Oryzias latipes: one gene and its partners. The protein of the gene in region 2 interacts with the protein of the main gene of each other region in a pairwise test. Links are inferred from orthologs where the notes say so. Each region holds a gene or a part of one and is shown on either strand. Other genes may lie near its edges.

Region 1 (6,094 bases), on a different chromosome or scaffold from region 2:
TGTATCAGTAGTTGCTTTGAGTCTTCCTGCAGCTTACAAAAAACTTTACAAATATTTTTTTTAAATATCTAACTAACTTTTCCAAAAAGTGACACAAAAACATGTTCCACTTTAAATACAACAACTTTATAAGCATTCGATGATGGAAGACTTGTGTCACAAATGTACACAAAACTAACATTTTTCCTAAAGAAACCAAAACATTGACGTTTTGTCAGCAGCTGAAGGTGAACTGATTAGTCTCACGGTTTACTGACGAAGGGGCGGCCTCTGTCTCTGGCTGGGGAGCGGAACTGGAAGAAGGGCTTGGCTCCATCCGCTTCCAGGCAGGAGAAGAAGCGACTCTGCGCATCGGGGCGACGAGAGAAAAGCTGGGGGCTCCTCAGAGGGGTCGCCTGCTGAGACGCCGCTGCTGAATCACACAAATACAATTAACAGATTCCTCCTCGCTAGTGAAAAATCCTGCGACACAGAATCGGCTTCAAACTCCTGCTGCCCGTTCTCTGGAGGTGTCTTTTGATCAAAACACCTAACGGTTCAGCGCTCTTTTAGGGGTTTTAACGCTGCTCTTGCTGTGACTATTTCCTGTTCTAAACATGGACTTAAAATTCAAAAAAATGATTTATCTTAATTACATTTTTTAAATAAATTCAGAAATTTTTTTATGCCCCTGAGTGATTATAACACAAGACACTTTCCAAGTCAGAAAAACATGCTGCAAGTTATTGATATCAATTAAGCTTTTTTCTTCATGTTTGCCTTAAAACGTGGCCCAAATGAGACAGGGACGTCCTCTTACCGTGGTTTAAGTCTTGATGTCCTGTTTGGGGCTGTGTGTCCCTCTCACCCACATCCACCACCATGTTCCGCAGCCTCAGGGAGTCGTACAGCCCCTGCAGTTTCTGGTACTGCCTGTTTCTCTCCATCAGCCTCTCGGACACCTCGCTGTACTTCCTCTTATACTCCTCCATCACTTTCTTCAGGGATGTGATCTCCCCTCTCATGGATGAGAGCTCCAGCTCTCTGCTCTGGTTCTGCTGGGTCAGGAGCTTGTCCATCTGCTTCAGCTGTCCTTCAGCGCGGGAGAGACTGTATTCTTGATACATGCGCTCCTGATGGACCTGTCAGGAAAAAATAAAAAAATAAAATCAAAGCTGTAAGACGCAGAGGGATACTAACTAAGTTAAAAAGTGACCTGGTAGCTCCAGAAGGCCAAGGCACGAGCACAGATGTCCAAAACTACGTCCGGCCGCAAACCGGCCAACACCATGGCTTTGTACTCCTCAGATGGAGAGAGCTCTGTCCTCACGATGTCCAGCTTGCCGGACAGCGCAGAGGAGCAGGCGGGGCAGGTGGCAGGGGAGCGGCTGAACTCGCCAGATCCATGCTGGTCGCAAAAGACGTGGGAGCACGCCGTGACCCAAGCGAAGCCGCTCAACTTGCTCCGACACTTGGGGAAGTTACACAGCAGTGTGTCGTCACAGAGAGACATGGCCATGACTGAAAGGTACAGCAATGGTTTCAGTAAAGAGACCCGTGCAAAGTGACAGCTGTTGACAGGAAATACTGACTGTGACCATTAAACAACAAATTCTTTGTGATAAAATCAGTCAAGGGGTATAAAAAGTAAAGGATTTTGTGTGTATAGAAAAGTTAATACTAGTCCTCTTTGCTACAGATAATTAAATATCAAACTAACAAGACTAGTTTCTTTTAAATATGGAGATTCTGAGAGAACAACTTAATAAAGCATCCTAATATTTGATTGTTTGCACCTCACCACTAAACAATCATTGTAGACACTCGTTCCCCATTTGAACGACAGCAAGCAGAAAAAGTTATTTTGTTTTTTAACCCGCCATGAGGTATAGGGCCAAAGTAAAGAAACCCCCCCTCCATTTATTTTTTTAAATAAATAAAATTGAGCTACAGGGTTTAAATAAAAAGTGTACCTTTAAAAATTACATTGGTTGAACCTGCCTAATTCTGTTTGAATTGGTCAGAAATTATTACCATATTGCATTAATTAATGAAAAAGAAAAAGAACAAATTTAGGTTTTAAGTTTGACCATTAACTTTTATAAATATGACATTTCCCCACAAACAACTGTATTAAAAAAAAATAAAGTTCCGGTCCATGTTGTCATTCTAACAACCCAAAAGTAAAGTCTGTCTCTGAATGTTTGATTGTCTAGCAGAGGTGTCACACTCATTTTCACTGAGGGCCACATCAGCATATGAGCTGTCCTCAAAGGGCCATATATGACTTATACATGTAACTAAATGTAATGAAAAATAAATGTAACTTCTCCTTGAGGTTAAATAACTTATTATTTATTGATTATACATTTTTAAACTGACAATTACAGTTACATTTAAAACATCCCTTGGCTTGTTACTCTAGCATGAATCCTTTTAAATTTTGTCTGGTTATTAAAATCCACATAACTCCAGTAATGATAAAGATATGATAAAGACAAAAAATAAAGAAAAATAACAAACTGAGCTAAAAATATTATGTATTAAGCATGTATAACATTTGACAAAAAAAGGCTGCACACAGCCTTGCATCCAACTGATGGTTTGATGACAATTTGTCTGCATACACACAAACATTGAATAATTACAACAGCAGCTACACATAAATAATATGTAATCGACAAAAAAAAAATATTTTAAGAAATTAAAATATTTTAATTGAGGCCTTGAGTTTGACACATGTGGTTTAAGGGATCAGTATTAAATTCCCTTCAAAAAGGTGTAATAATTTGGTTGATATTGTGTAAAATACTGTTGCATATACCAAATTTTAAGAAGGTTTTAATATGTTAATAAATATTAATGGGAATCGAAAATTTGCCTAATTAAATTTATATTGTTCTCATAACATTTGGATTTTTAAAGTGATGATTAGTATTGGATACCCTTATTATTCCAAATAAAATAAGCTTTTGTTGAAATGTGTGTTTTTAGACTAGTTTCTAGGCTAGTATGGCTTGTTTTTACAAATGTTAAAGTTTTGTGGGTTATTTTTCTTTTTTATTCCATGAGTCAGAAGGAAAGAAAGTTCAACTTGTTAATTTTTAAAAAGACGTCACTGGCTACAATTAGCTAGCTACCTAGCTAGCGAGTAAATAAATAAAGATTCAAAGCCCTCGTCTTATCTTTAAATATTCGATTAATAATGCGTAAATATAAGTTTAAAGTCACATATTTAAATATAGTAATATTTTATCACCGCAACTGTCTTTTTTTATTCGTCAAATAGATGTTCTTACCACTTCGTCCAGCTGCAGGTGTTAGCTAACAGGTGACGCTATTCTCGCTCGCGCTGTGATCCGATTGGCTGAAATTTTTCCTTAGACAGCCACAGTTGATGGATGCAGCTTAAATGTTAACATTTCTGTTAATTAACTAAAATGAATGGATACTCTAAAAGTTTGCTATTTTTAACATATAAAAAGTCCAAAGTATATTGTTCACAATAAACATTAGCTGAGGCAATAGCTTCACATTAGCACATCTTTAACATTTGTTTGTGTCTATATTTAGGTATATATATGAATGCATGCAATTATTTAAAAAAAAAAAAACTTGATTCGTGGAAAAATATTAGCTCTGACTTAAAAAACAGAGACACACTCTGATGAAAATTGTGTTTTGGGTGATTTTATCATGTTTGTTTCATGATGGAAAGAAAATTAATCTTAAAATTGCATTTCTGAGTATTTCTTTTTTCAAATCGTTGTGAATCAGGAGCAGACATAAAAGGCTGTTTGAAAAAGCTTGTAAGTGTGATGTACAAGTTAAGACGGCGAGTCACAAGCTCCCTGCTCCGCTGCATTCTGATGCATCCACTTGTAGACAAATATATTTGTGTTCGTCTTTGTTCTTCCCTCATCTGAGCTGGCATTTGGCTCAAAACTGCATGGCTGGCTTGCTCAAACACTGCTCGCCATCTTTGTAACACCTGTAATGTCAGATTGGGGATGTGCCGGCTGAAAGCCAGCGAGAGAGAGAGTGTAAACAACAACCCCACACACACACACACAACTCAGAGGGGAATTTCGAACGAACTACTGCTGCTCTGCAGAAACTATGTCCTAGAAAACGAGACAGGTTTTTTGTTTGGAGCTAAAAACTGCATAATCCCAGGTAAAAGTTCAGTGGGAACGCTCTGAAAATAAATAAAAAAGATGATCAGAGAGGGACTTAAAGTAAGGCAGTCAGAAGAAAAAATTAGGATATCACATATTTTCATTGTAGAGCGCATCGTTAATAGACATTTGCTGCTTTCTCACAAATGTAACGTGTCAAAATGTTGCTTAATTTATACATCATAATAATAATGCATGAATCCTGATCATGTCTGAGTCTTAAAAGTGTACTTAAAGTCAAGTTATAGTGGCATCCATCGATCCCTCCTCTAAACCTGCTTTATGGGGCAACAATCTTGATTAAGCAGAGGTGAAAGTTTCATCTTTGTTGGAATTTAACAATATAAAGCCATTACCTAAAACTATGAGCAAAGGGAAAACTGGGTCAAGAACACTCAATCAAATTTGGTTGAAGTCATTCAAATCCATGGATGAATTGTGTTCTGAAGCTGTTTTTCAGGTAAAAATAACATTTGTTTTGGATATATTTTGTTGCACAAATTAATAATTTTGTAAGTTTAGTTCAGTCTCAATGTTGTCATTACTACATGGGTTTTTGAAAAAGAGATTTAAAAATATTGAATCAATACTTAATGGCATTGCTTTTAAAATCATATAGTTTTCTATAGAGTTTTGTCAGAAACGCCTATAACTTCTGTGAAAACCTGAGATTAAAAATGAACAAACTTCTCCTTTTTCATTTAAAGTTATATCATCATGATTCCACAGAGGACAGTAGATGATGTATATGGTTCACCTAAACATGCCACCTTCACCTCCTCCTCCTCCTCCTCCCACGTTCCCTCCCTCTGCCCTCTCTCCTGCTTTTATCCGTCCCTCCACGTGGTACAGGAGTAAAGGCGGGGGGTGAAAGAGGCGCATTGTGCTGTGCAGCACTGGATCCGGGGGTTCACAGTGAGAGAAGGGAGATGCTCACTCAACTGTGTCCAACTCGCCATTGTCACTGATTCCCATCTATTCTCTACCTTTTAAATAGAGCTCTGGTGTAATTTTTTTTTTTAGTAGAGGGGGTGGGCATTATGCACTGACCGATAACACACGAATTACATCCATGCAAGTGGAATGGATGCGTGGCCTCTATTTATAACTAGCCGCGCGCGCGCTTGTTCTCGTCGGCTGTGATAATTGGCCCTATAGAAATCAAAGCGTGGAAATATTGACCGCACGGTCCTCTGTCATAATGAAAACGCTCAGAGGACAGTTTTAAAAAAGAACTTTTTTAAACAAACTATTATCTGAAAACCTCACCTGACCAGGCGATTATCAGAAAAATATAATCCCCCCCACCACCATTATTTAATGGTTGCGTCCACCTGTTGAGCATCCCCATTGTCGTAAACTTGCTTCTGTCATCTTTTTTTTTTTTGGTTGAAAGTTTGTGGCTGCTTTGGAGAAACCATGAAAAAAGAGTAGGGGGGAAAGAGACCCCGAGAGGCTGTGTGTTACACGGCCATTGAAATGCAAATATCGCAGAACAAGGAGTGGTTGTGTGTTTGTGTGTTCCTGTATATGCATGCAGCGGAGCAGCATTGGGAGAGGAGGAGCACAAATTGGACAAGTTTTTTTTCTTTTTTTGGAGGTGCTGGTGGTGGGGGGGGGGACTTTTGACTACAGCCACACACACCGCAGTTCCATATGACACGGTGTTGCCTGGAGGATTTTCCGTCTCTTTGCCCTTAAAGGTTTGTCCATGGAAGGCTGATTTTCACCTTTTACTTTTTTACCCCCCTCCTCCCCTTTTTTAATTTGATTTATCCTCCCTTCTTCTCTTGCATCAAGAACTTGTGGGATTCCTTAGAGAACTTTGAATGCGGGTAGGGGGCTCGTTCAAGTGCGTAAAACGGAAAAAAACAACAACAGAAACGTGCCAAGCGCCTGATGCCCCCCTCTCTGTTTGCCTCGCCGTGAATCATGTC
Region 2 (6,132 bases):
CTTCATCGCTTGCTGGATGCCTCTGTTTGTCCTCTTCCTCTTAGACTTTTTTTGTTCCAGTGGCAAGTGCGAACTACTATACAAAGCCGACTACTTCCTCGGGCTAGCCATGATCAACTCACTCCTCAACCCCATCATCTACACTCTGACCAGTAGAGACATGAGAGTAGCCATTCTGAGGCTGCTGTGTCTGCCATGTCTGATTGCCACAGGCGGACAGATCAACAGGTTTGGGACGTTCCTGGAGTACAGTTTCAGCAGGAGTGAAGTGGGCTCTCAGAGGTTGGACGTGGGGCAGGAGTCGATCATTTCCACTGGAAACATAATCAACACTTCATCTCCAATTAAATCTATATATCCCAAGCTCTTCAAGTCATAGACTCTGGCAACAATGGTATTTTGGGGTATTTAGTAAAGCCAAAAAGTTAAGAAGTATGATAGAGGTGCAGCTGAATCATGCTTTGACAAATGCTTCACATTTTACAAATAAAAAATAAATGTGCGAACAGCAACAATACCATGAACTAGCTTTTTTAGGTAAGAAAAAAAGGGCCACAGTATTCTGGTCAAAATGTGAACTAAACATGACTTCTTGTCCTGATGGTGTGGAACAGGTAAGAAAATAGGTCAACCTGTATCATCCACATCTTCAAGTTGAATGGTCTGCTACTCCTGCTCTGATAAAATCCTCAGCACCATAACTGCTTTTGTTTGTGTACGTGGTGCAGTGGAGCTTTGCAGAGAAAGACTCTGAAAAGAGGGAGTTTTATTTTAAGAACACATGAAGATTGTTGTAGTTTTACTGTGGGAGGGATGAAAGTTTCTCTAATTCTCTTGATTTAGTTGAAAGTGAACCAACCAGACAAAGCAAAAGTCTTTCTATTTTCTGTTGGTCTGGCATTTTCTGTCCAGTTGCATTAAAATGTCAACACATCCGAGATGTGGCCAAAAAAAAAAGATTTTTGAATGTTATATGGTAATACTTAGACTGTGACTGAAACCACTCAGTTATGAAAACACAGTTCGGAATTTTTATCTTGTGAATAAAGTTTCATTTATTAGCTGCGGCGGGTGTTTAAAGGATAAGAATTTATCTGCACTTGTAACTTATTTTATGGGAATTCAAGAAAACTTCAGGGCTGTAACTACAATACTTCTTTCTGTCAATCATCACAAACGTTTCCATTTTTCTTGAGATATCTGCGGCTGAAATACAGTCGAAGTGGATGAATGTGACAGTTTTCTATTTTGTGCTGAACTTAATGTAGCGACAAATTTTTCATTACTGAAAAATATGTTTTTTTATAACACTTGTAATGTGAATTGTATTTTGTTACCTTCCTTTTCATTCAAATAATAAAATATTTTCTTAGGCGAACCATCACTCTTTTTGCATTTTGTTGTGTGTGATTTATGTGGTCTGAAAACACATCTGGAGGAGACATTGACTCACATGCATCCCGCTCTTATTGTCTCAGCAAAGCACAGTTTATCAGTGGGTTAACAAAAGACTTGGTTTCATTGCTCTGGTTTTGTTTGTCGTTTGATTCTTTAACAATATCGAAATTTTCCCAGATGCTGATTGCAGGTTTTTGCAATACTCCTGCAGACAGCAGTCAGGCTTTCTTTCCCACACTTGAACACGTGTGCAGAAATAATCTATAAGACGGTTGTTTTTATCTCTGCTGACAAATGAGCTTACTGACATGACTCAACAGAGGCTTGACCTTTGCAGCTGTAACTGTTGGCTTTTACTGCCACCTTGTGATTTCTTTTAAAAACAAGGCTGCTATGTAGGCTACTACCCTATTGACCCGGATTTCACAGTTTGCAGGAGTGAAAAAACTTGGTGTGTCAGCACAAGCCAAAATGTGTTTTGGTCCCATCTGAAGCAAGGCAGATTTTTTTTCTGATAAAAAATAATTGTTAGATAAGATGATTGCGAGAGAGCTGCATCATGTTTTCTTTTAATGTAGATTGGTTCAGAGATTTCTGAGTATGAGTGACATATGTATGTTCTTATTATAAGATTGAATTGTTCTTGTGTAGATGCAATGCTTATTTAAGAGGATAAACATATGAGTAAAGTATAACTGTAATGGTTGTAACAGTTTTGTTAAGCAATAAGTCACAATTTTAACTCAAAGTTAACCTTTTGGCCTGGTTTTCTTTTTTTGTTTTTTTTTAATTCTGAGACTCCTTTCCCAATAAAAGCCTACCACCCCCTGACGCAAACACGACTCATTGCTCGTCAATGGAGGCGGTCCCGACGTTCAGGAAGCATGCTTTTATTGTGAAGGCCAGTTGACTAGTACAATGCTTAGTCACGGTGAGTTACAGCCTCCCCTCCTCCTTCCTATGTGGCGCACAGCTCGGCAGAAAACGTTGGAAATAAGAGAGTACGTGAGTTGCCTTTACTTTACAGTTAAATTTTAAAATGTCCATCAGTACGGTTTTGTCAGTTCGGTTGAACGGAAAGTAGGTTTTTTGGGCGGTAAGACTGAGTACTTACTCTTTGTTAGCATGTTTGTAGCTATCAGTTCTCAGACGTTACTCCACTGTCTATTTTAGGGGCTTATTTTGCTGCTGCCGATAGCGTTACCTCCACCTCGGTGTTTTCTTCCAATCAATGAGACCGCGGAATTTTTTATCTTTTTAGACCTCAGTTTGGTCCACCTTCATCTGTGTTTTTGCTGTTGCATGCCAGCTCTGTGGCAGTTTCAGCCGAAAACAAGCTTGTAGTAAGTGTAGATGATGACCTTAGTCAGTGTGGAGTGAAAGCTAAACTTCGCGTTGTGTGAAAGTTCTTCTAGGAAAGGTGCACGGGATGGAAATCTAATTCCATCCCCGGGCTTACATAAGAACCAGCTCCACTTCTGGGTCGCGTTTTGGTACATTCAGTTCCACTCTTTCTGGCTTGGCGAATAGCTCGCAATGAGTCACCAACGAGGGAAGCTCTCCTCCTCCACCACGAATGCCAACAAAACACGTTGGACGCTCTTTGCTTGTCTTCGGCCTCGCCCCCTCCGCGTTGGCTGTTTCGCACAAAGTTTGGCGACGAATCTAGAAGTGAAAGTCTCTCCAAGTTGTTGTGGTCTCCACAGATTTTCTGCAGCTTTTTTTTAAAGTGACAGCTATTGATTGCAGGCCCGTTTTTTGGAGTTGCACCTTTTGTATGAAAGGTGCTTTATAAATAAAGTTGATTCAAATGGGGGTTCCCAAATTGAGGTGCAGGGGTTTATTGAACTTTTTTGTTACTAAAAATGACAATGCAACACAAACTCTCATTTTTTTGCAATATAAATATCTTGAGAAAAAAGTAAAATGACATAATAATGTTTATGTTATTGAAAATGTTACACTTTTTGAGCTCCTTGCTCATTTGGAAAAAGATTTGAACCAAAACAAAATGCTCTGAACACCAGCTAAATAAATAAGTTTACCCTCTCAGTTCAATACCAAAGAGATGAAATGCCACATTCACCAGACTGATACGCTAGCTGCTTGTTTGTGAGCGATAGCATGTTGAGCAATATGTTCTGGAATGTTCTGTTTTCCTTGTTAGTCACCAGGAGGAAGAAAAGTGCAGTTTCAAATCAGTGTCATAAAGTGTGTTTCGTGTTACTGTAAGTGTCACTGGCTGACTCCACAGCAGCCTTTAAACACATGACTTTTGATAACAAAATAGTCTTTTTCCTACTCTACGAACTGTAAAACACTTGTCTTTTTATCTCGTCCCTCAATACAACCTATGGTGTGTTGGTTATATAAGTAATCGTGTTAGGATTGTTGCTGACGGACTGACTCTTCCTATTCAGAGTTCACCAGTCAAATTGGCCACAGTCTGCTCTTTGTCTTTCATATCCCTGTTGCTTCATGTTCTGTAAAGGAGAAGTTGTGATGACAGTAAACTGGCCTGCATTCACTTTGTTGCACCCTCCACCCCTCTGTCATTTTAACATTATGCAATAGTCGAGTTGTTGTCCTCCCGTGGACCCGTGCCCATTCTGTCCTTGCTGACGTACTTTTGTCCAAACCAGCCTGGAGAGCAATCTCTGCCATGTTTCAGTCATGTTCTTGCCCCACCAAGCCTGAAAAATTCTCATGTTCATGTCTATCTTCATGACATGTAATAATTAAACAAAACAATGGGTTTGATTAACTGAAAATAATTAGTGTTTTCTATGTTCTTCTTACTATCAGCTGGATTGGTCACAGGATAAGAGTAAATACTTGTCAGCTGGATTTATGCCCAATTGAAGGTACTTTAGCAGTGTGTTTTTAAAGTCAAATATGTTGTTTTATTTTATATCTTTAATGTTAGTGTTTTTAGACTTTTGTTGTACACGTCTGTATAAAAAGTATATCTTTACAGTGGCATGTTAAAAGGTTCTTAACTGGGATCATGTGGTGACCACAGAATTTATCTGAGGCTTCCTAACACAAACCTTTTCTCTCCTTCTCCCCTCAGCTGTCGGCTAAATTCCCTGCCTGCTTGAAAGCAGCGGCACAACAAACGATATCCAGCTCTGGAAAATCTTAAGGAAGTTTTTTTTTTTCAAGTATAGACTTCAGTTCTTCCTTCTCCGTTTCAAAGAGCTCTCAGACCCACCAGTGACGCCTTTGGATCTCTTCTTGATTATCAAACAACAAGCAGTCAAACTGTTGGATTCCTACACATTTATCTCAACATTTGTTTTACTTTTAACGGTCATAGTTTAGCTTTGATCCATCTGATGAGTTGGTTCCTTTAGGGAATTTAACTGACCAACATAGATTTAATAAGAGACTTTCAGAGCATGATTTAATTGGCTACTGCCATATATTTCTTTTTATTCCTCCAACAAACAGGCATGTTTAACAGGCTTCTGTCAGTATCATGCAGGTGTGGAAAGACAGAGAGTTTTGTGACAAATGCAGTTGATCTAAAAGAAATCCCTTTGATTCCCGACTCTGTAGTTTAAACTTAATTACAGCAACATCAATCTTTAACTCCCATTCAGCATGCTGGAGGGCCAGTGTATAACGGCGTGCCCAGCTGGAACTGGCATCTCTCAAGCTATTTTCAATGTCATAACTCGCAGCATGACTCAGCTTGAGTGCTAAACAGAGCCAGGACATCTTCATGTGGTCATAAATAAGACTTTTGCAGAGACTAGGAAGGACAACAGAGACGCTGTGACAACTGGAAAGACTGGAGCTCTGCAAAACGATCACCTCGACTTCATTTCACATGTGGTGCCAGGATGCCCAATAACCGTGTCCACCGATCTTGAAGCAAAGACATTAAAGAGGAGAAAGACCCTTTCTAGGAAATGACAGAGTGCCTGACAGAATGCAAAGCGCTGGTGACGCCCTCCACGCGCAACGGTCACCGCGTCTTCAGCTACACGCTGGAGAGCCACACCTCGGCCGCCTTCGCCATCATGAACGAGCTGCGGTTGGAGCGGCAGCTATGCGACGTCACGCTGCGGGTGCGCTACAAAGACCTGGACGAAGTGGACTTTGTGGCGCACAAGGTGGTCCTGGCCTCCTCCTCGCCCGTTTTCCGAGCCATGTTCACCAACGGGCTGAAGGAGTGCGGGATTGAGCTGGTTCCCATCGAAGGGATTCACCCCAAGGTCAGTGGCATTTGCTTAGAATTCATCATTTTAAGGGGTTTATTTCCATGTCACGCCTTGGAATAACAGTTTACGTTTTGTGGTGCAGTGAAGTGGATGTAAACAGGATAGATGTCAAAGAGAAGATGCCCAACTGCTTTAATATGGAGGGACTGCTCTGTCTCCAGAGGATTTCAGTTTAACTCGTTTCCAATCTAAATGTTTAACTCCCTTTTGAAGATGTAACTGTTAGTTTCTATGTTAAGGAATGAAAAAGTTCTCAAACAACTCCTTCTCAGGTTATGGAGCGACTGATTGAGTTTGCCTACACTGCCAGCATCTCCGTGGGAGAGAAGTGCGTCATCCATGTGATGAACGGCGCCGTCATGTACCAGATAGACAGCGTGGTCAAGGCCTGCTGCGACTTCCTCGTCCAGCAGCTCGACCCCAGCAACGCCATCGGCATCGCCAACTTTGCCGAGCAGATCGGTTGCACAGAGCTCCACCAGAAAGCCAGGGAGTACATCTACAT
Region 3 (5,143 bases), on a different chromosome or scaffold from region 2:
CCCCCCCCCCATTAGCTAACAAAAGTTGACTTTCAAAGTAACAATGTGTGTTTTGCTTCTAGAAACTGTCTGCGTACAACACGCGTCTGTTCAAAAGGAACGATGGAGGAAAAGTCTGCTATGAGGTTCGCTTGGCTTCAGCAGTGCAGAAAGGTTAGAGATCAAATCACAGCCAATAATAAGATGGAACCAAAAGGTTAACATGTTGGAGACAGGCAGAGTTACCAGACGTGCTTTGGCCTGCAAAGTTTAAAGCATTAGAAAATGATTGACATAGCGGACAATGCTGATACTAACAAAAAACAATAACTTTTGTTACTGCGTCACAGATTGCGCAGTGGACGGGGAAAAGGAGACTTCCTGTGGGACCTTTACATTTGAAGACAAAGAGTTTATTGTGAAAAGAGGAGACTATTGTCCTCTGATGGAAAAAGTTTGTTTTTACCTCCAACAAGCAGAGGTGAGGCAGCAAAGGAAGCAGTTGCTTTTAATCATAATTTCAGTTTACCTTTGATTATTTCTACATTTGACTCTAGTTGGAGTCAATCTGTTCTTAATTTTTTTAACTGCCTTCAAAGGTTTATCAGTTTTTTTTATTATTTTTTTAAAATAAAGAATTCATGTTCAATGACTAAGTGCCATAGAAAAATGAACTAATACTGTTAATGTATCAAGCCTTGATAACAGAGGGAAAAAAATGTAGTTTTACCTCTTTTTAAATGTTTTTTTTTTTTTTTTTTTACTGACTCTTGGCAGGCTTATGCAGCCAATGAGAACCAGCAGAAGATGCTGGAACAGTACAGACACAGTTTCAACTTCGGTTCGGTTGAATCCCACAAAGAGGGTTCACGCTTCTGGATCAAAGACAAGGGACCAATTGTTGAGAGGTGAACCGCGGCACTAAAACACTTACTTAACCTCACAGATCTCATTTTTACTGCCTCAATTTATTTTCAGTTTCACTCAGACCTTTGCTCCTAGAATTGTTGGCGTTCTAGTAAACCATTTCTGAGTTACCTCTTCTTTGTCCTCAGTTACATAGGATTTATAGAGAGCTACAGAGATCCATTCGGCTCCAGGGGAGAGTTTGAAGGTAACCCCTGACCTGATCATGATCAGTGATTATTGAGATCCACACTGTGAACCTACAGGCCGCACACAATTTAATTGGTGTCCTTGTTCAGTTTGAGGTTCAGGAAGAAGTTTTTCATTATTTAGAATCCATATTATTTGAATCCAAATCAATTTGTAGAGGGTTTATACAGTGCACTGAAGAAGCAAGGTGAACAAACTAGAAATGAAACCTTCTTTATTCAATGAAGAGTATTTTATTACTAGCTTGACTTGTAAATGAAAACGGGTGCTCCAGGTAATAAATACTATTCAGATTTAACATAGGCCTCAAGCTAATGTTTCACCAGGTGGCCTGTTTGAAATCTACATCTTAGCTGGCTTTCTGTAAGTAGAAGAAGAATCAGTTGATTAATGTTCACACATTTTTGGACACAGATAATTTAACATTCTGAAGCCTCCGCACCAGCCTGAAAAATCAATCATTGTCATTGAGGTGATTCTTAAATTCATGGTTAACATTAAAGGAACCGAGGAAGCTGTGTCCTGCAGGTGGATTTAAGTTTAGTCTCGTCTTTCTTCATCTTCATGACTTTAGGAATCTGCTACAATTTTTACTAGAAGTAAAAGAACTTTCATATTGAACATGGTCACTAAGTAATAATTATTTTATTAGTAGGAATCCAGAAGTAGCTTACACATTTTGAAATAAGCTTTCATTCATTTTTGAGGGAAACCAGCAGAATGTACACTCTCTGGTTATTCTGTCTTTTTTTTTTTCCAGAAAAGGAAAAAAAGAAACCCCAACAATAATTATTTCTTTTCTGCCATTATTCAGCAAATCCTTTCTAAGACTAAGAAAATTCCTGGTGTAGTTTTTGACAGAAGTGCTCATTCTGTCTGAAGGTTGGTAGTTTTAGGAGGGTTTCATTCTCTGTTGTTTTGATGCCCAATCCAGGTTTTGTGGCGGTTGTGAACAAGGCGATGAGCGAGCGTTTCACCAAGCTGGTGAGTTCTGCAGAGGTCCTGCTGTCCGAGTTACCTTGGCCTCAGGAGTTTGAGAAGGACACCTTCCTGAAGCCCGACTTTACTTCACTGGATGTTCTCACCTTTGCTGGAAGTGGAATACCAGCTGGAATCAACATCCCCAACTGTACTTACTCGTAGATTCTAAAACCAACAAATGTAATTGTTAGTTTTGAAGCATTGCCCTACAAACTGTTTTGCTTCCTTGCTTTTAGATGATGACATCAGACAGTCGGAAGGATTTAAAAATGTGTCCCTCGGCAACGTTTTGGCTGTAGCTTATGCTACCCAGAAAGAGAAGCTCACCTTCCTCAAAGAGGAGGACAAGGTAAGGTGTTCTGCTTACACCTGTCGCCATTATCTGCTAAGGGTTTTTTGAAATGGCTCTCATGTGTGTGCTGCTCTTGTGTTCCATTTTCTTCTAGGATTTGTTTATCAAATGGAAGGGTCCATCCTTTGAGGTGCAGGTTGGACTTCATGAACTGCTGGGGCATGGAAGTGGCAAACTTTTTGTTCAGGTTAGTCCAGCATAGTTTAACTACACACAGAACTCTATTACCTGGAATGGAAGTAGAATACTTTATTGTAATAACCTGTAGTCTTGCTTTTCTCTCAGGATCACAAAGGCAAGCTTAACTTTAATAAGGATAAAGTGATCAACCCAGAAACAGGAGAACTGGTGAGTTCGTTCACTTTAATGGCCTACGTTCAAATGTGACACCCATTATAAATGGGTTTCAACAGAACAAAGTAGCTCAGCGGGACACTTGGTCTTTCAGGTGTCCAGTTGGTATCAGGGCAGCGAGACTTGGGACAGCAAATTCTCCACAATAGCCTCTTCCTACGAGGAATGCCGCGCTGAATGTGTCGGCCTTTACCTGTGCTTGAACAAAGAAGTGCTCCGGTGGGTTTTTTAAAAAAATCTCAAGAAAATTTTGTTTTAGGATGAAGATCTAAACCAGATGTTTACTTCAACAACATTAATATTTGATAAGTGGTGGTAAAACTCCATAAAACACTTCAGGATTGTAATTGTAGCTGAAAGATCTTATGAACATTGACATTTTCTTCTAGTGGAGTTTGGTTAGATGTATGAAAATTATAATACAATGGATTACAGCTTATTGCTTCATTTGAAAAAAGTTAAGAGTTAAGTAAAAACGAATTTAAATTATTTTTATCTCTGAAAAAGAGGCTGACCTCAAAGTTTATTTCAGTGACGGCTTCAGTGAAAAAGTTCCAGTTCATATACATTTTTGTGTGTTGTAGTATTTTTGGCCTCGAGGGTCAGGATGCAGAGGATGTGGTGTATATCAACTGGCTGAGCATGGTCAGAGCAGGACTGTTGGGCTTGGAGTTCTACACACCTGAGAGCAAGAACTGGAGACAGGTAAGGTCTGGCAACATGGCGCCCGTTTTCCTGCTGTAAGGTTTGTGTTACAAGAGGCCCAGAAAAAGTTTGAATAGTGTTTATAAAAAAAGTGAACATGCAGACTGTTAAGTATGTGTTTCATGGAATGATGCGTGTCTATGTCGGATAATTAAGCTCACGCTCAGTCAGTCTGTGTTTACATGAGCGTCAACAGACCTGTGCAGTTTGTCACTGATGTCTGTTTTCCTCAGGCTCACATGCAGGCTCGCTTCGTGATTCTGCGTGTTTTGCTGGAGGCCGGGGAGGGCCTGGTGGGCCTCAAAGAGGTGGTGGGGCACGACGGCAAGCCTGATGCACAGATTACACTGGATCGGACCAAAATCCACACTGTGGGAAAGCACGCTATTCAGAGGTTCCTCTGTAAGCTGCAGGTACGTGTCCTGTGTCATCTTTAAACGTGCAATATTAGTGATGTGCCGCTCCATATCGAGGCTTCGAAGCGTGTGGCGAGTAGTGGAGGGGGCGTGTCCGTGATGGGTTTATCGAGGCTTGCTTCATTTAGGGTAGGAGCGGAAAATGATGATGTCCGAAGCTTTGCTGCCCAGCTGTACCACGTGATTGATTCATGAAGTGTTTTGGATTGTGCCGCAAGTTTTGACAGAGATATAAATCCCTCAGATTCAAAATGTGGGTGTTTGATGGAGAATCACGAGTCAGTGAGAGTTTAGAGACAGTTTGGTTAGAGGTAGAGATCTTGGAGACAGTTTGGAGACTCCGGAGAAACTTAAAAGAGGAGGAAGTCCCCTGTGTAGGAGCTTTTGATCTAATTTCTCCCAACAGCCCTCACCTCACTGTAAATTATCATTTCCATTTTTGTCGTTTCCGAATAATCATTTGCCATACTGCCAGTATATCCAAACATACATATATACACAGTAAACTGCCATCTCTAAATATATACCTTTTGCATTCTTCATTTTGCTAACAGTTTTATTTACAGCTGTTCTACAAACTCTCACACTTCAAATTCCTACCAATTGATATTTTTATGTCCAGTAGATCTCCTACTAGAGCAAATGAAGCTTCAAAAAGCTTTGCTCTGGAGTGAACCAATTGGATGTAAGGCTTCATGAAGCTTCATTTGCCCATCACCACTGAATATGTGTTATAAAACAAAAATACCAGAATATTTGTACATCTACTGCTATCTTTTCTTTAAATTGTTAGCCACCTGAATATTTAAAAACACTTTTTCATAAATTGTAGCCCTTTTTTCCCCTCCTTGTTTATTGCTGGGGTTACATTCTAAAATTAACCTGTTGTGAATTAAATCTGCGAAGTGGTATTAAAGATGTTTAAGGCTGTAAAACTCCCCACTAGACAATTTATACACTTTTCTCAGACGGGAACATTTTCACACTTTTCTTTAGTTTAAACTCTTAAAGTTCAAACTTTCACTGAAAAAATAGTCAATTTTTAGAGAATAAAATCAAAGATCTGATTAAAGATTTATGTATGTTTAGAAAATTGAACACATTCAGTACAGGAGACACGGCACAGAGGAGATTGTTTGACAAGGTCAACAGCCAATCAGGACGCAGAACAAAAAAGCATGAAAAAAAACTCAAGGAGTAGGAGACCGTGAAAAGTGAACTTCAATAAAGCAAGGGAACA
Region 4 (5,930 bases), about 17 Mb from region 2:
AAGTTAGGAAGTGCCATGTGCCATGCACATTGTTTCATTATTTATGTTTCTGTGGCCATCAAGCCATTCATTCAAAAAATGTAGCTTAAATATTTACAAAAATTTAAAAAAGTTATAACAGTTTCACAGTGTCCATTTTTGGTTAAAAAACATTGAACTTTTTTGGTTTTAACAGGAGAAAATACAAGTTCCTTTCACTATAAAACAAAATGACTTTTTTTTAGGCTGATGTTATTTGCATGTATTAACGTGCAGTCACAACAAGTGATAGAAATTCATGCACATTTCTGCATTGTCTGTCTGTACGTATTTTAAATGTGTCAAAGGCTTGATTTTGTTGTTGGCCACACTTGTTTCAAATTGAACTTTAAGTTAAAGTCCCATTATCTGTCACGCTCATAGGTGTGTGAAATGTGTTTTCCACATTTGATCCATCCCCTGGAGGAACAGTGAGCAGCAGAAACAAACAGCTGCTCTAAGGAAACATTTGGTGGTTTAACCCTAACTGTAACCATAATCATAACCTTAAACCGTGGGTCTGTGCAGCCAAGAAAAAGGTTTAGCACTGGCCAAACGTGTTGAAAATTATGTGCGAATAATTTATATATATAAAAATGCAAGAGAGTTAAACGTGACATTGTTTTTCATTCTGACTTTGGAGTGCAGTGATTCTTTTTTCAACCATCAAATATTACCTTGACAACATTGGTGTAGAATCAGATTTTTTTTAATCAATACATGTAAATGCAATTCTATACTTTATTAACTTTACCTCTGAACAGCAACTAGACACTGTTGTCCAGCAAAAGATAAGAATAATTACTCTGATAATATATCAAAGCCTTTACCATCATTTTGCTCTGTTATCTGACATGTTAAAAAAGTCAACGAATGCCAAAAAACTAAAAATCTACAACAACAAAAACTACAAATCAATTACTTATTCAAATTGTTCGCATTTTTCTTCAGAGAAAAAAAGAGCTGTAATGTGGGGCTGAAAGAGCTCCATGCGGCTGCAGAGCCTTAGGTTGCAGACCCCTGGGTTCAGTGGAAATGTGTGTGCCAGTAACCTTGAGCATCAGTCCACACATGCTGAAGATCATGCCAAGAAGATTCATGTAGTCAGGTGTGGGGTCCTCAAGGGTGGGGTTGGATTCTGTGCTGGGGGGCTTGTATCTGCCAGAATACAAATTCAGAAATAACTACACAGGGTCTGTGATAAAAATTGAAATGAAATTTGCTTCTACGTCACACCTACAAGATTTTTCCAATGGAATTCTTTCGTCTACTTCCGATTGATTCTCAACAATTTGAACAACGAAATACTCAGAATGCAATTAATCTTAATTTTCTTAATATAAGTCAACCATCATTATAAAAACACCACATGAAAATATTAAAAACGCCAAACATCGGAGTGGGTCTGTAACCCTTGTGCTATCTTAGATGACCCCACCCTTACATTGACGTGTTCTCCCTACCATGACAAAGGTGGATAAAGGTGGAAAGATTTATGTAATCCATGGACACCAGTGAGGTTCACAAATCATTGAAGAAAAAAAGTTCAGCGCACTGTCTTGGGGTCTAGATGACCCAACTCCCAATGGTAAAGTGTCTAGGATAGCACAAGTTAAATATTCACCCAAATCAACCCAATTTTAGTATTTAAGTAAGAGAGAGAATAACTATTTAACAAGTAAAAACATAATAAAACCAACCGCAGTTCACTAAATCCAAATTAATGTGAACAATCTCTTTTCATATATGTATCTGAATAGATTACAGTGTAAACGCTAATCCAATTTAACGCACTCGTTATATCATGACAACTCACTCAGCTGTACTAGCTAACTAGCTGCTACTAGCTCCCTCTAAAGTGGAGTGCTTTCTAAAAATCAAACAAAAACTTTTACCTGAGAATTTTATTTTGCCTCCTCGGGTCTGCCATGTTATTGGAGGACATATTGAGTTTGTAATATCCTCAGAAGGTGAAAAAAGCGAAGGAATTTCAACGCCGATAATCGCAGGTTATCAGCCTCTGTTGAGAAGGAAACTTCAGCTAACACATTAGCTCAAATGTCCGGTTTGGGATTTTTAAAGTAAAAGTTTCGCCATCTTCTAGATATCGGTTGTTTGTTGGAGGTTGGCAAGCAGCTTTGAAGTGCAACCAATCTGAAGTGCGGATCAGAATTATTATTTTATTTCATTTCTTTTTTCCTTTGTTTTCTCCGAGAGTTTTTTTGTAGAACCACCTAAATCATTCACAAGGACTTAACAATTCAAGAAATGCAAACTCTTATTTTGGAGGGATCATCTGATCCCAAAATGCATTGCGTGTACATGCTAGCAACCATTTCTAATAAGATGAATGAAACTAGATGTCGATTATTATTATTGTGATTTTGTTTAGGTTTATGTTGACGTAACATGGCTAAAAGCGCGAAATCTTCCAGTTAAAAGGAACAGATCAAGTGTGGAAACAAACACACAAGTGAATTACGACTAATTTAGTCAAGTGACTTAGTGCTAAAACAGAAAGTTACAAGGCTTAGACTAGAGGAAAATAAATTTTAAAAAGGTAAGAGAAATTGTCTTTTGGCACGTCATTTTCGACATACGTGTAGCCAGTGTTAACATTTTTTTCTTGGCTGCACAACCTTCCAGAGGAAGGTTACATGTTAGGATAACAGTAGTTAGTTGGGGTGAAACCACCAAATGGTTCCTGAGACTCACTGAGGGAGAGCAGCTAATGTTTGTTTCTGCTTCTCACCGTTCCTCCAGGGGATGGATCATGTGGAGAACACATTTCACATACCTAGGACCGTGACATATAATAGGACTTTAAGTTTAACCTTAAATACGTGCGGCCAACAACTACATTCAGCCTTAGAGGCCCATTTAAAACACATGCGGACGATGCAGCAGTGTGCATCATGGCTCCACGTATGTGAATTCCATCACCTTTTGCGCTGGTCGCACGCTTATACGTGCAATAACAGCCGGAAGGCAAACCAGTAAAGTTGTATTTTTAATTGAAACACTTTTATAGTGTAACGTTTTGCATTTTCATAATTTTAATCCTCCGTCTTCCAGCCTGATATTATTATTTTGATTATTTAGAAAGAGACTGGTTATGGCATTTCCTGAGCCCAGACCTCAGGCCCCCCAGCTTCCCCAGCATCTTCTGAGGACGATCAACTGCCAGCAAGGAGCTGTCAGAGCTGTACGCTTCAATGGTGAGGAGCTCTTTATTACCTTCGCGAAGACATTGTGGATATTAAATAAAAAAGAGAGTGAGAAATAAAGGTGTTAGGAAAAAAAATTCGACAAATATTCAATTGTGCCAGCTCTCTAATTTTGTTACAGTTTCAATAAAATATAACGTTTTTATTGAACTTTTTGTAATACAAACAAGAGACTAGTAAAATGATCCAAAAAATCTTGCATGAAATTACGCAAAACCATAATGTATTAAAGATCCACTAAAAAAATGATGTTTTCTTTTTTAACATGTATTTGTGGCAATTTATTTGATGATGGAGGACATTTATAAACTCAGAGGACTTTCTTTGTTTTCCTCTAGCTTGTATCAGGCTCAAAACGTTATGGCTGGATAGTTCCAATACTGCTCGCCGTTGTTGCTGCACTGCTAATGTTAGGTTGGGGGTGTGACGGGGCTGTAAGATAGTGTGAGAGCATGTAAACAAAAAGGTGACAGGAAGTGGGGAGGGGTTGCTCCACATCAACAGTCTCTCCCAAACCTCAGAGGCAAATTTCTAACAGCGTAATCATAATTAGAAGACCACGCAGAACGAGTTTCCCTTTAAAAACCATGTTTGCATACTCACCAGAAAGTTTTTACAAATGAAATCAAACAAAAGTACGCAAAGATTTCCCCAATATATTCTGAAAGAAAAAAAGAAAGTTTGAATTTGTTCTTTTCCATTGTACTGTACTTTATATGTTTTAAAAATGCTTTACAATATATAAAGTAAAGTATATAAAGTAAAGTAAAACATACATTTTCTTTATCTCTTCACAAGTATTTTGTATGGCACATAGAAGTATTAGCTTGGAATTTTTTCATTTTATACATGATTTGTAAAGTAATTGTTTTACCAAATATAAGCTTTCACTTTTAAAAAAAGTCATTGGTTTGATCAAAAGAGCCTGACTCTTAATTCTGGCTGGTGTATGCTTTTTGAAAAATGAATAGACATGGAATAATTAAAATAATAATAATAAAACTAACCATTCAGCTTATGGCACAACATTTAGTTGGTTAAACGTTGATTTATTTTTCTAATTTTGAGTCCAAAAGGATTTTTGGTCTGAACCATTTAGATTTAAGGGATTTGACTCAAACTAAGGTGGAAAATTCATGACTGAAATAGCAAATTCTTTCAATAAAACACTCAACACCAATCTGTCTTCTATTTGAAAAAAATATAAAAACATTGCCTCAAAGGTAAATCCGTCCATAACTGTTAGGATTCGTCTTAGATTTTGTCCAACACATGCTTCTTTTAAGCTCATACCTGCGTCTCCCTCACTGTTTGTCAGGTGATGGGAACTACATCCTGTCCTGCGGCAGCGACAAATCCCTCAAACTGTGGAGCGTGGGTCGGGGGACTTTGCTGAAGACATACAGCGGCCATGGCTACGAGGTTCTGGACGCTGACAGGTGAGGAAACCTTCCCTGTTTCCTACAAATCATTTCAAATGTCATCATTGGCTAGGTGACAGAAATCTGCCCTTACAGGCTACTACAAAACCATCAGCAAAGGAAATGCAGAAAAAAGCAAACTGGATCAGTAGTTTTAAAGTATTTACTGTTTTCTTTTGTCTTCCCAAAAAAACAATTTCCCAAAATCCGACCTAAACACATGAGATGTGATTGGAATGACTACAATGTCGTCTTTAAAGCTCATCAGGTTTAAGTAGAGATCTTCAAATGAGTCAAAGGACATACATAAAGACAAATTATCAATATTTCCTTCAAGTTTAACATGTGTGCTTTTGAGTTTTAAACTGTTTTCATCCTTTTTTATTTACAATGTCTATTTTTGACATTTGCATCTGGTTTTTCATTCACTTGAAGCCGATCCTGATTTGATCCCATAACTTTGACTTTGAAATGTCTTTGTGGTGTTTTTGATGCAATTAAGAAATGTGTATTTCCCATTTGCTCTCTTTTTAGTTCCTTTGACAACAGTCAGATCTGCTCCTGCAGCTCCGACAAGACCGTGATTTTATGGGATGTCGCTACAGGACAGGTCACACGGAAACTCCGAGGTCATGCAGGGGTCAGTTCGACACTTTACTGTTCCATCGTAATTTTTTGTTTGTTTTTTGGTTTATTTGAAACACAGTTTTCTCGCCTTTAGGGGTCTCTCCATACTCCTGCTTCCCTCTTTACATTTGTAATGTCTTATTTCATCCTTCCTTCTGCAGAAAGTGAACTGTGTCCAGTTCAATGAGGAGGCAACTGTCACCTTGTCTGGTAAGAAATCACTTACCGGTACACAACTGTAGTTTAACAATCAGCGCAATATTTCAGCACCAGACAGCTGTTCTCTGTTGCCCCAAAGTGCTGAAGAGAAGAGAAGAGAATTTAGAGGAGTGACCTTAAAGCAAAAAACATAATCAACAAACAAATACAACAAAATTAATGTTATACCCGTATTTTTGCCCCCCATTTCATTGTCACATGCTGCTTGTTCTCACTTTACGTAGGATCCATAGATGGGACAGTGAGGTGCTGGGACAACCGATCAAGAAAATCGGAGCCCATCCAGATCTTAGATGAGGCTCGTGACGGCATCAGCAGCCTCAAAGTGGTTCAGCATGAGCTGCTCACTGGGTCAGCCAAGAATGATCACAGAAGCTCATGATTATCACCTAAGTCAACCGTTTACTAACCCTAGAAA
Region 5 (6,131 bases), on a different chromosome or scaffold from region 2:
GGTCAGCTCCAGTCTCTTTGGGGGCGGACCTTGGATGCCTGTTCGTTTCTCAGGGTCACAGCTTTTACTAGCTGGGTCAGCTCCTCTGCCCGTGCAGGCCCCTTGGTGTCAGGCTCTGATACACTTGCAGCTCTAACCTTTGGAGGGGCCTCAAGCTCCACCCTGGAGGAGGGCCTCCACAGCATTTTTCTCTCTGTGGCCAGCTCCAGGGCCTCCTGCAGTAACTTACGGTGCGCTGGTTGGGTTTGAACGCGAAGGTCGTCTGGTCCCGGGCTAGCTCTTCCTGAATGGCTGGGGGCATGTGAGCATAAATCTGGTTAACTAATCTGTCGATGTCAACAGCCAGAACTCTTAATTGCTCGCCTTGGCCGAAAGAGCTGCCCCGGTAATGCAATTGTAGCGTCCCTTTCCCACACACTGAGGCACGGAGACTTAATCTCTTAACCCTTGTGCTATTTTAGATGACCCCCCCCTTCCATTGAGGTGTTCTCCCTACCATGACAAAGGGGGATAAAGGTGGAAAGATTTCATGTAATCCATGGACACCAGTGAAGATCACAAATCATTGAAGAACAAAGGTTCAGAGCACTGTCTAGTGGGTCTAGATGACCCAACTCCCAACGTTAAAGTGCCTAGGATAGCACAAGGGTTAAGGTTATTTATTCTGGTTACTGTAGGCTGTAACCAATGCTGCACAACTTGCCCAGAAACTCTTGTATCCTCCCGCTGAGAGCACTCCCCCAAACTTTATTCCCTTGCTCCTGCATCAGCCCCATTTCCTTATTCGGGCCATAGCTGAACCCTATTGGACCAAACTCCCCAACTACAGGTTGAGCGACAGAACTGAGAGCCAATCAGCATTTCTGCTTGATGCGTTCAATGAACACCGGAACTTAGAACGCGACCCCACAGCCACCCAGTACACTGTGTTACATAATTTTTCACCACACTGGTTTAAAAAAATAAAAGACCCTTTTGGGTTATGACAGGTTCTTAAAAAATATTTTCCAATAACAAGCAAAAAGAATTGAAAATTGTAATGAAAGCTCTTCCCTCAGGATTATTTCAACTAATGACCTCTCCCCGTAACCCTTGTGCTATCTTAGGCACTTTACCGTTGGGAGTTGGGTCATCTAGACCCACTAGACAGTGCTCTGAACCTTTTTTCTTCAATGATTTGTGATCTTCACTGGTGTCCATGGATTACATAGCGCACCTCACTCCACTCCGTGCTGAAAACAAATCCACACACACACACAAGAAAAACGTGCCAAAGAAACTTCCACTACACACTAAAAAGGAAATAAATACAGTGAGGAAGACGCTGCCACAAGGGGCCCCTTCACCAACACCACACGCACTGGCGCCCGACTCACACCTATGCAACAATAAAAAGGAATCAGAGTCAACAACACAATAAATACAGCACCACTCTAAAACACATTAAAATGTATAATAAGGGTGGGTAAAGAACACGCAGTGGCTCATGACATCTGCAACACGTCCAGCCGCTAACAGAATCTAGTTAAAAGAGCAGAATAAAAATGAGTAACCGGTGATCTACATTCTCCGACAAGAGGAGCTTCAGCCATACATACCACCATGCAGGCAGGCAGCCACTGTCTGTCAACTCACTCCCTGTTCCTTATAAAGAAGCAGAACAGCTGAACTACATCCCCAATCAAGCAGGCATGCACCTGTCACAGGCCGACCTGCCGGTTACTCAAGGGTGGGGACATAAGATAGCACAAGGGTTAAATATCACAAGGCATCTAAAAATAGACCCTCTATTGACAATTAATGATATTGATATTTTCAATAAAAAATGCTACAACAAACATATATTTACTACTTTATATGAAAAAAGAAGCATAACACCTAAAGGAGAAATTTATTGGAATAATATTTTAACTATCATTTGGACAAAAGCATAGTTACTGCCAGAAACATTTGGCATAAATAACAAAATTAAAGAAATACACAAATGAATTCTACATAACATTTACCCCACACTATGTTCATATTCAAATTCTCAAATATAGGAAATAACTGTAGCTTTTGTAATGATTTCCCAAAATCAGTTCTTCGCCTTTTCTGCCATTGTCAATTCTCCCTTAAATTCTGGATCCAATTGAAAAGATTTATAAGCATGAACAGTACTATTATTATATATTTCAAACACATTCTTACATATTTTAACTCGCAGGATCAATTGGTAGGAAATAGTATTGATTTGTTACTACTTCTATTTAAATAAGTGCTGAGTAAAAAAAACCAAAAAAACAATTTTACAGGATTTTTGATAGAGATTATCAATTTTACTAATATCTTCAAAAGATTATTACATTCAAGGCATAACACTGAAACAATATGAGCTTTTTTGCTTGATGAATAGTTCCCTCTACTGAGAAATACTTTAATATATTTTTATTTATTTTTGTTTTTAAATTTTCCTTTTTGCTAACGATGTCCCTGTTAATTTTATTTACATACTATAATTTATTCTTTATTTTTTAAGATAACATTGATTTTTGCCATCTGACGGTAAACTTGCCGATGTGATGTTTACTGTTGTATAAATAAAGTTTCAAAAAAAGAAAAAAGTCATTTTCTCCTGTCTAGGGTTGACCACGTGGGGAGGTCTGTCTTTTTTGCGCATGCGTAGAGGTTGTCACTGATTTTTCAAATCGGACGGCGGGTACCAGTTTCAGCCTTCAGTGCAGCAAGAAGCCCGACGTTTCTTTTCAACGGTTGATTGTCATTTCATGAAATGACGAGTACTTTAAAAGGAATCACCCTTAAAGGAAGCGCGGAGCTGGTGGCCGAGTTTTTCTGTATGTTTCAACATTTGTTTCTGTACTAGCCGGGCTTTTCAACGGCTCTTCCTCATTTGTTGTGTGCTAGCGGGCGGTCGGGCCCGCGTGCTCGGTTGTTGTGTGTAGCCAGCGAGTGTATTTACGGCGGCTCCAGACCGAAGGCAGAGCCCTAAACCGTCGCAGCATTTTAAAAGCCTTCCTTCTGAAGCCAACTTCTTAAAGATCGAATGGCTGCTTCTGGTCGATGTGTAGGTTAATGGCGGCTTTCTAACACCGCCCACCGCCAGGTGTGCTGGTAAAGAAGCCGAGCGTCACCAGAGTTAAAGTAGGAATGCTAGATTTCGGGTTGAACAGACACAAACTACTTATCATCGGCTGAGTAACTAACGTAGAGTAGTGTGGACGAAAAGAGTGTTCTCAGTCTTTGACCTGAATTAACGTCACAACCCCCCCCCCGCTAATAACAGCCCCGTGATCCTCCCCACAGCCTTCGGCATCAACAGCATCCTGTACCAGCGGGGCATTTACCCCCCAGAGACGTTCACCAGGGTCACTCACTATGACATGAGCCTCCAGGTCTCCACGGAGCCCAGGCTGAACAACTACCTGACCAACGTGGTGTCTCAACTCAAAGGTAGTTTGTCCTTTCTTTGTCCTAAAGCAGGCCGTGTCTGTTAGGACTTTATTTTTCTATTTCTTAACATGGAGGCAATGATCAAGATGCAATTCCTGTCTGTCAGCGTCCAGCAAAGGCTTATTGAAGACAAGAGGCGTGGGATATTGTTTCTCTTTACAGATTTATGGGATATGGAGGTGGATGTTGGGATGATTGACACCTCATGTTGTTTCCACGTGTCGATGTGCCTAAATAGTGATGTTTTCCTGCCCAAAAGTCCTCTAAAAGCCCAAAGAGTTCATCATAATTTAGGGTCAGACGCAACATTGAAGAATTTACACAGATTTCTCAAAGTCATTACAGAAATGATGAAATGCATAGATTAAAACCGTAAGTCACATTTGCTTGATTGAATGAGACACAAACTTGTCTTTGTGGTTCTTGTCAGTTTGGTCTTGAAGTTCCTGCATCCCCTCACTTTGTTCCTCCTTCATTTTCTAAGAACTCTTTTGTGTTGTTTGGTATTGAATGGTAACGATTTCCCACTGGCTCTGAATAGAAGTTAAAACACAACAAGATCATACAGTTTTAGAAGTCTGGATTGATCAAATTGTTTGTATGATCAGGATATCCGGCTTTATGTTCAGTTCTGACGGCTCATTTTTGAAGTAAACAGAGGATGTAGTGAACTCTTAGAATCAGTCCCCCAAATTTCTACACAGTCGGTCAAATATGGTAAAATTAAGGAGCAGTGTAATAAATATCTACTGTCGTATTTTAATATGTTTAGATTTACTTATGATGGAAATACTTTTGGAGACTTTATTTTGTGTGTGTCTGATGTGAGGCTTTAACTTAGTTTGTCATCGATAAAAACGCCTGAGAATCTGAATTCTGTAACACTTTAAATTAAGACATTTATTTTAATTGAGACATCGGTATTGGTGTAGTAGTTAGCAAAATATGTCACACTAGTTTTATCTGGGTTAAAGGAGGATTTGTCGTCAGCCATGATTTTATTTTGTGTGACCCTTGTTCTATCCTAGGCACTTTAACGTTGGGAGTTGGGTCATCTAGACCCACTAGACAGTGCTCTGAACCTTTTTTCTTCAATGATTTGTGATCTTCACTGGTGTCCATGGATTCCATGACATCTTTCCACCTTTATCCACCTTTGTCATGGTAGGAATAACACATCCATGTAAGGGTGGGGTCATCTAAGACAGCACAAGGGTTAACTCTATGTTCACCACATTAAGTTCCCTATGATTGTTTGTAGAATGGAATAGAATAGATCTGTCATCAGCAAATAATGAGTTTTAATAGTTGTGAGACATTGAATATATCATTTATGTAAATACTGAATAGCAGCGGGCCCAGAATTGATCCTTGTGGGACACCACAAGCTATCTATCAAGAATCAGCAGAAAATTAGCATCCTGAAGACGTTTGTGTAGCTCGGTTCGTGTGTTGGTGGTGTTGAAACAGCAGGAATAGGTTTTTCTTGTGTCATGTTAGAACAGGCTTGTTTTCCAGATGGACACACCTGGTCCAGGTAAAACGGGACGGTGATCTGCAAATCTCTGAGCCTGGACTTACCTGGTCTGCGTGTTAGGCCTTAAAGCAGGCGTGTAACGCGGGTTTGGGTTTCAGAATGGCTGTTTGAGTGCAGCGTGCAGAAGCTGGTGCTGGTCATCACCTGCCTGGAGACCAACGAGGTGCTGGAGCGATGGCAGTTTGACATCGAGTGTGACAAGTCGGCCAAAGAGAGCAGGTGAGCCCGCTCTCCAGTTCCAAATGTCTCAAGAGGAAAGGAGCTTCTCCAGGGGCTGGCTATCCCACCACCGCTAGCGTGATCCGCGGCGCGCTGTGGCGTGGACGAGAAGCGCATTTCTTCACATAGGCGTGTTCTGAAGCAGAGTTTACATTTAAATGTAGGTCAAGGCTAGAAAACCCATGTTGTGTGTTTCTCTAGCGCTGGCAGCTAAATGCTAACGTAGAAGATATGCAGCTATTGATGACGCCATCCAGGACTGGTAATGTTCAAATGTTTCCATAACTGCTGGAGGGGGGATGGGCAGGAGCTGGGAGGAATTGGGATTCGGTTTAAACCTTAAAAAAGGTTTTCTGTGGGGTTGGGACTCGGCATGTACTCCAAATCAGGTTCTCATTCTGAGGGAGCAAACGTTTCTGTGGTTTTTATTTCAGGCTGCTGCTCTGCCGTCCAAATAGCTACAATGACTGAGTTTATGGAGAAAAGTGTCTTCAAATCCGGACGTTACAACCGCTCCACAACGTCATGAATAGTAGTCGGTCTGCTGCGTTAGCGCTCAGAAAATACACATCATGGGTTTTATTTAAAAAGTCACGCATAAACAAAGTCATGACTTACATTTAAATGTAAACGTCTGTGCTTCAGCGCACACCCACGTGAGGAAATGCGTTTCTCCTCAACGCCACAGCGTGACGCGGATCGTCCTACCAGCAATCCACCACGGCTCCTCCTTTGAATCACTGTGGGACACCACTACAGCTCCAAAATGCCCCTTCAGCTGGAGCCAGAGGGGTAGGGGGGCAGTCCAGCCTTTGTTTCTGTGTGCTGACCTCTGACTCTGATCCTTTCAAAGCAGTGCTCCCAGAGAGAAGTCCATCAAGACCATTCAGGATGAGATCCGCTCCGTCATCAGACAGATCACGGC

Evidence for each region.
Region 1: the proteins of keap1 (region 2) and ccnb1ip1 interact in binary tests that used the Homo sapiens proteins (3 or more experiments, as listed by UniProt). The two-hybrid records come from large-scale screens. The link is inferred for Oryzias latipes from reciprocal best matches to the Homo sapiens genes KEAP1 and CCNB1IP1.
Region 3: the proteins of keap1 (region 2) and dpp3 interact in binary tests that used the Homo sapiens proteins (3 or more experiments, as listed by UniProt). The two-hybrid records come from large-scale screens. The link is inferred for Oryzias latipes from reciprocal best matches to the Homo sapiens genes KEAP1 and DPP3.
Region 4: the proteins of keap1 (region 2) and wdr83 interact in binary tests that used the Homo sapiens proteins (3 or more experiments, as listed by UniProt). The two-hybrid records come from large-scale screens. The link is inferred for Oryzias latipes from reciprocal best matches to the Homo sapiens genes KEAP1 and WDR83.
Region 5: the proteins of keap1 (region 2) and mad2l1 interact in binary tests that used the Homo sapiens proteins (3 or more experiments, as listed by UniProt). The two-hybrid records come from large-scale screens. The link is inferred for Oryzias latipes from reciprocal best matches to the Homo sapiens genes KEAP1 and MAD2L1.

Annotation. Positions count from the first base shown.
Region 1 is NC_019876.2:17,646,998-17,653,091, forward strand, and holds the start of ccnb1ip1 (E3 ubiquitin-protein ligase CCNB1IP1), read right to left. Parts: upstream 3,380-6,094; 5' UTR 3,279-3,379; intron 1,501-3,278; 5' UTR 1,499-1,500; coding exon 1,196-1,498; intron 1,122-1,195; coding exon 800-1,121; intron 413-799; coding exon 243-412; 3' UTR 1-242. Other genes in the region: sall2 (sal-like protein 2), read left to right, coding at 6,090-6,094. UniProt on the Homo sapiens protein: Ubiquitin E3 ligase that acts as a limiting factor for crossing-over during meiosis: required during zygonema to limit the colocalization of RNF212 with MutS-gamma-associated recombination sites and thereby establish early differentiation of crossover and non-crossover sites.
Region 2 is NC_019859.2:10,399,892-10,406,023, forward strand, and holds the start of keap1 (kelch-like ECH-associated protein 1), read left to right. Parts: upstream 1-2,280; 5' UTR 2,281-2,399; exon of another isoform or gene 2,400-2,403; intron 2,404-2,476; exon of another isoform or gene 2,477-2,494; intron 2,495-4,203; exon of another isoform or gene 4,204-4,262; intron 4,263-4,471; 5' UTR 4,472-5,315; coding exon 5,316-5,621; intron 5,622-5,899; coding exon 5,900-6,132. Other genes in the region: sphingosine 1-phosphate receptor 1, read left to right, coding at 1-379. UniProt on the Homo sapiens protein: Substrate-specific adapter of a BCR (BTB-CUL3-RBX1) E3 ubiquitin ligase complex that regulates the response to oxidative stress by targeting NFE2L2/NRF2 for ubiquitination.
Region 3 is NC_019872.2:7,883,689-7,888,831, reverse strand, and holds part of dpp3 (dipeptidyl peptidase 3), read left to right. Parts: intron 1-62; coding exon 63-153; intron 154-329; coding exon 330-460; intron 461-756; coding exon 757-887; intron 888-1,034; coding exon 1,035-1,093; intron 1,094-2,029; coding exon 2,030-2,224; intron 2,225-2,312; coding exon 2,313-2,425; intron 2,426-2,522; coding exon 2,523-2,615; intron 2,616-2,713; coding exon 2,714-2,776; intron 2,777-2,876; coding exon 2,877-3,001; intron 3,002-3,366; coding exon 3,367-3,487; intron 3,488-3,720; coding exon 3,721-3,900; intron 3,901-5,143. UniProt on the Homo sapiens protein: Cleaves and degrades bioactive peptides, including angiotensin, Leu-enkephalin and Met-enkephalin. Also cleaves Arg-Arg-beta-naphthylamide (in vitro).
Region 4 is NC_019859.2:27,116,188-27,122,117, forward strand, and holds the start of wdr83 (WD repeat domain-containing protein 83), read left to right. Parts: upstream 1-2,332; 5' UTR 2,333-2,578; intron 2,579-3,120; 5' UTR 3,121-3,133; coding exon 3,134-3,236; intron 3,237-4,563; coding exon 4,564-4,684; intron 4,685-5,200; coding exon 5,201-5,306; intron 5,307-5,454; coding exon 5,455-5,503; intron 5,504-5,736; coding exon 5,737-5,863; intron 5,864-5,930. Other genes in the region: wdr83os (protein Asterix), read right to left, coding at 1,071-1,176, 1,914-1,963. UniProt on the Homo sapiens protein: Molecular scaffold protein for various multimeric protein complexes. Acts as a module in the assembly of a multicomponent scaffold for the ERK pathway, linking ERK responses to specific agonists.
Region 5 is NC_019876.2:30,701,413-30,707,543, reverse strand, and holds the start of mad2l1 (mitotic spindle assembly checkpoint protein MAD2A), read left to right. Parts: upstream 1-2,649; 5' UTR 2,650-2,770; coding exon 2,771-2,834; intron 2,835-3,303; coding exon 3,304-3,450; intron 3,451-5,085; coding exon 5,086-5,206; intron 5,207-6,059; coding exon of another isoform or gene 6,060-6,062; coding exon 6,063-6,131. UniProt on the Homo sapiens protein: Component of the spindle-assembly checkpoint that prevents the onset of anaphase until all chromosomes are properly aligned at the metaphase plate.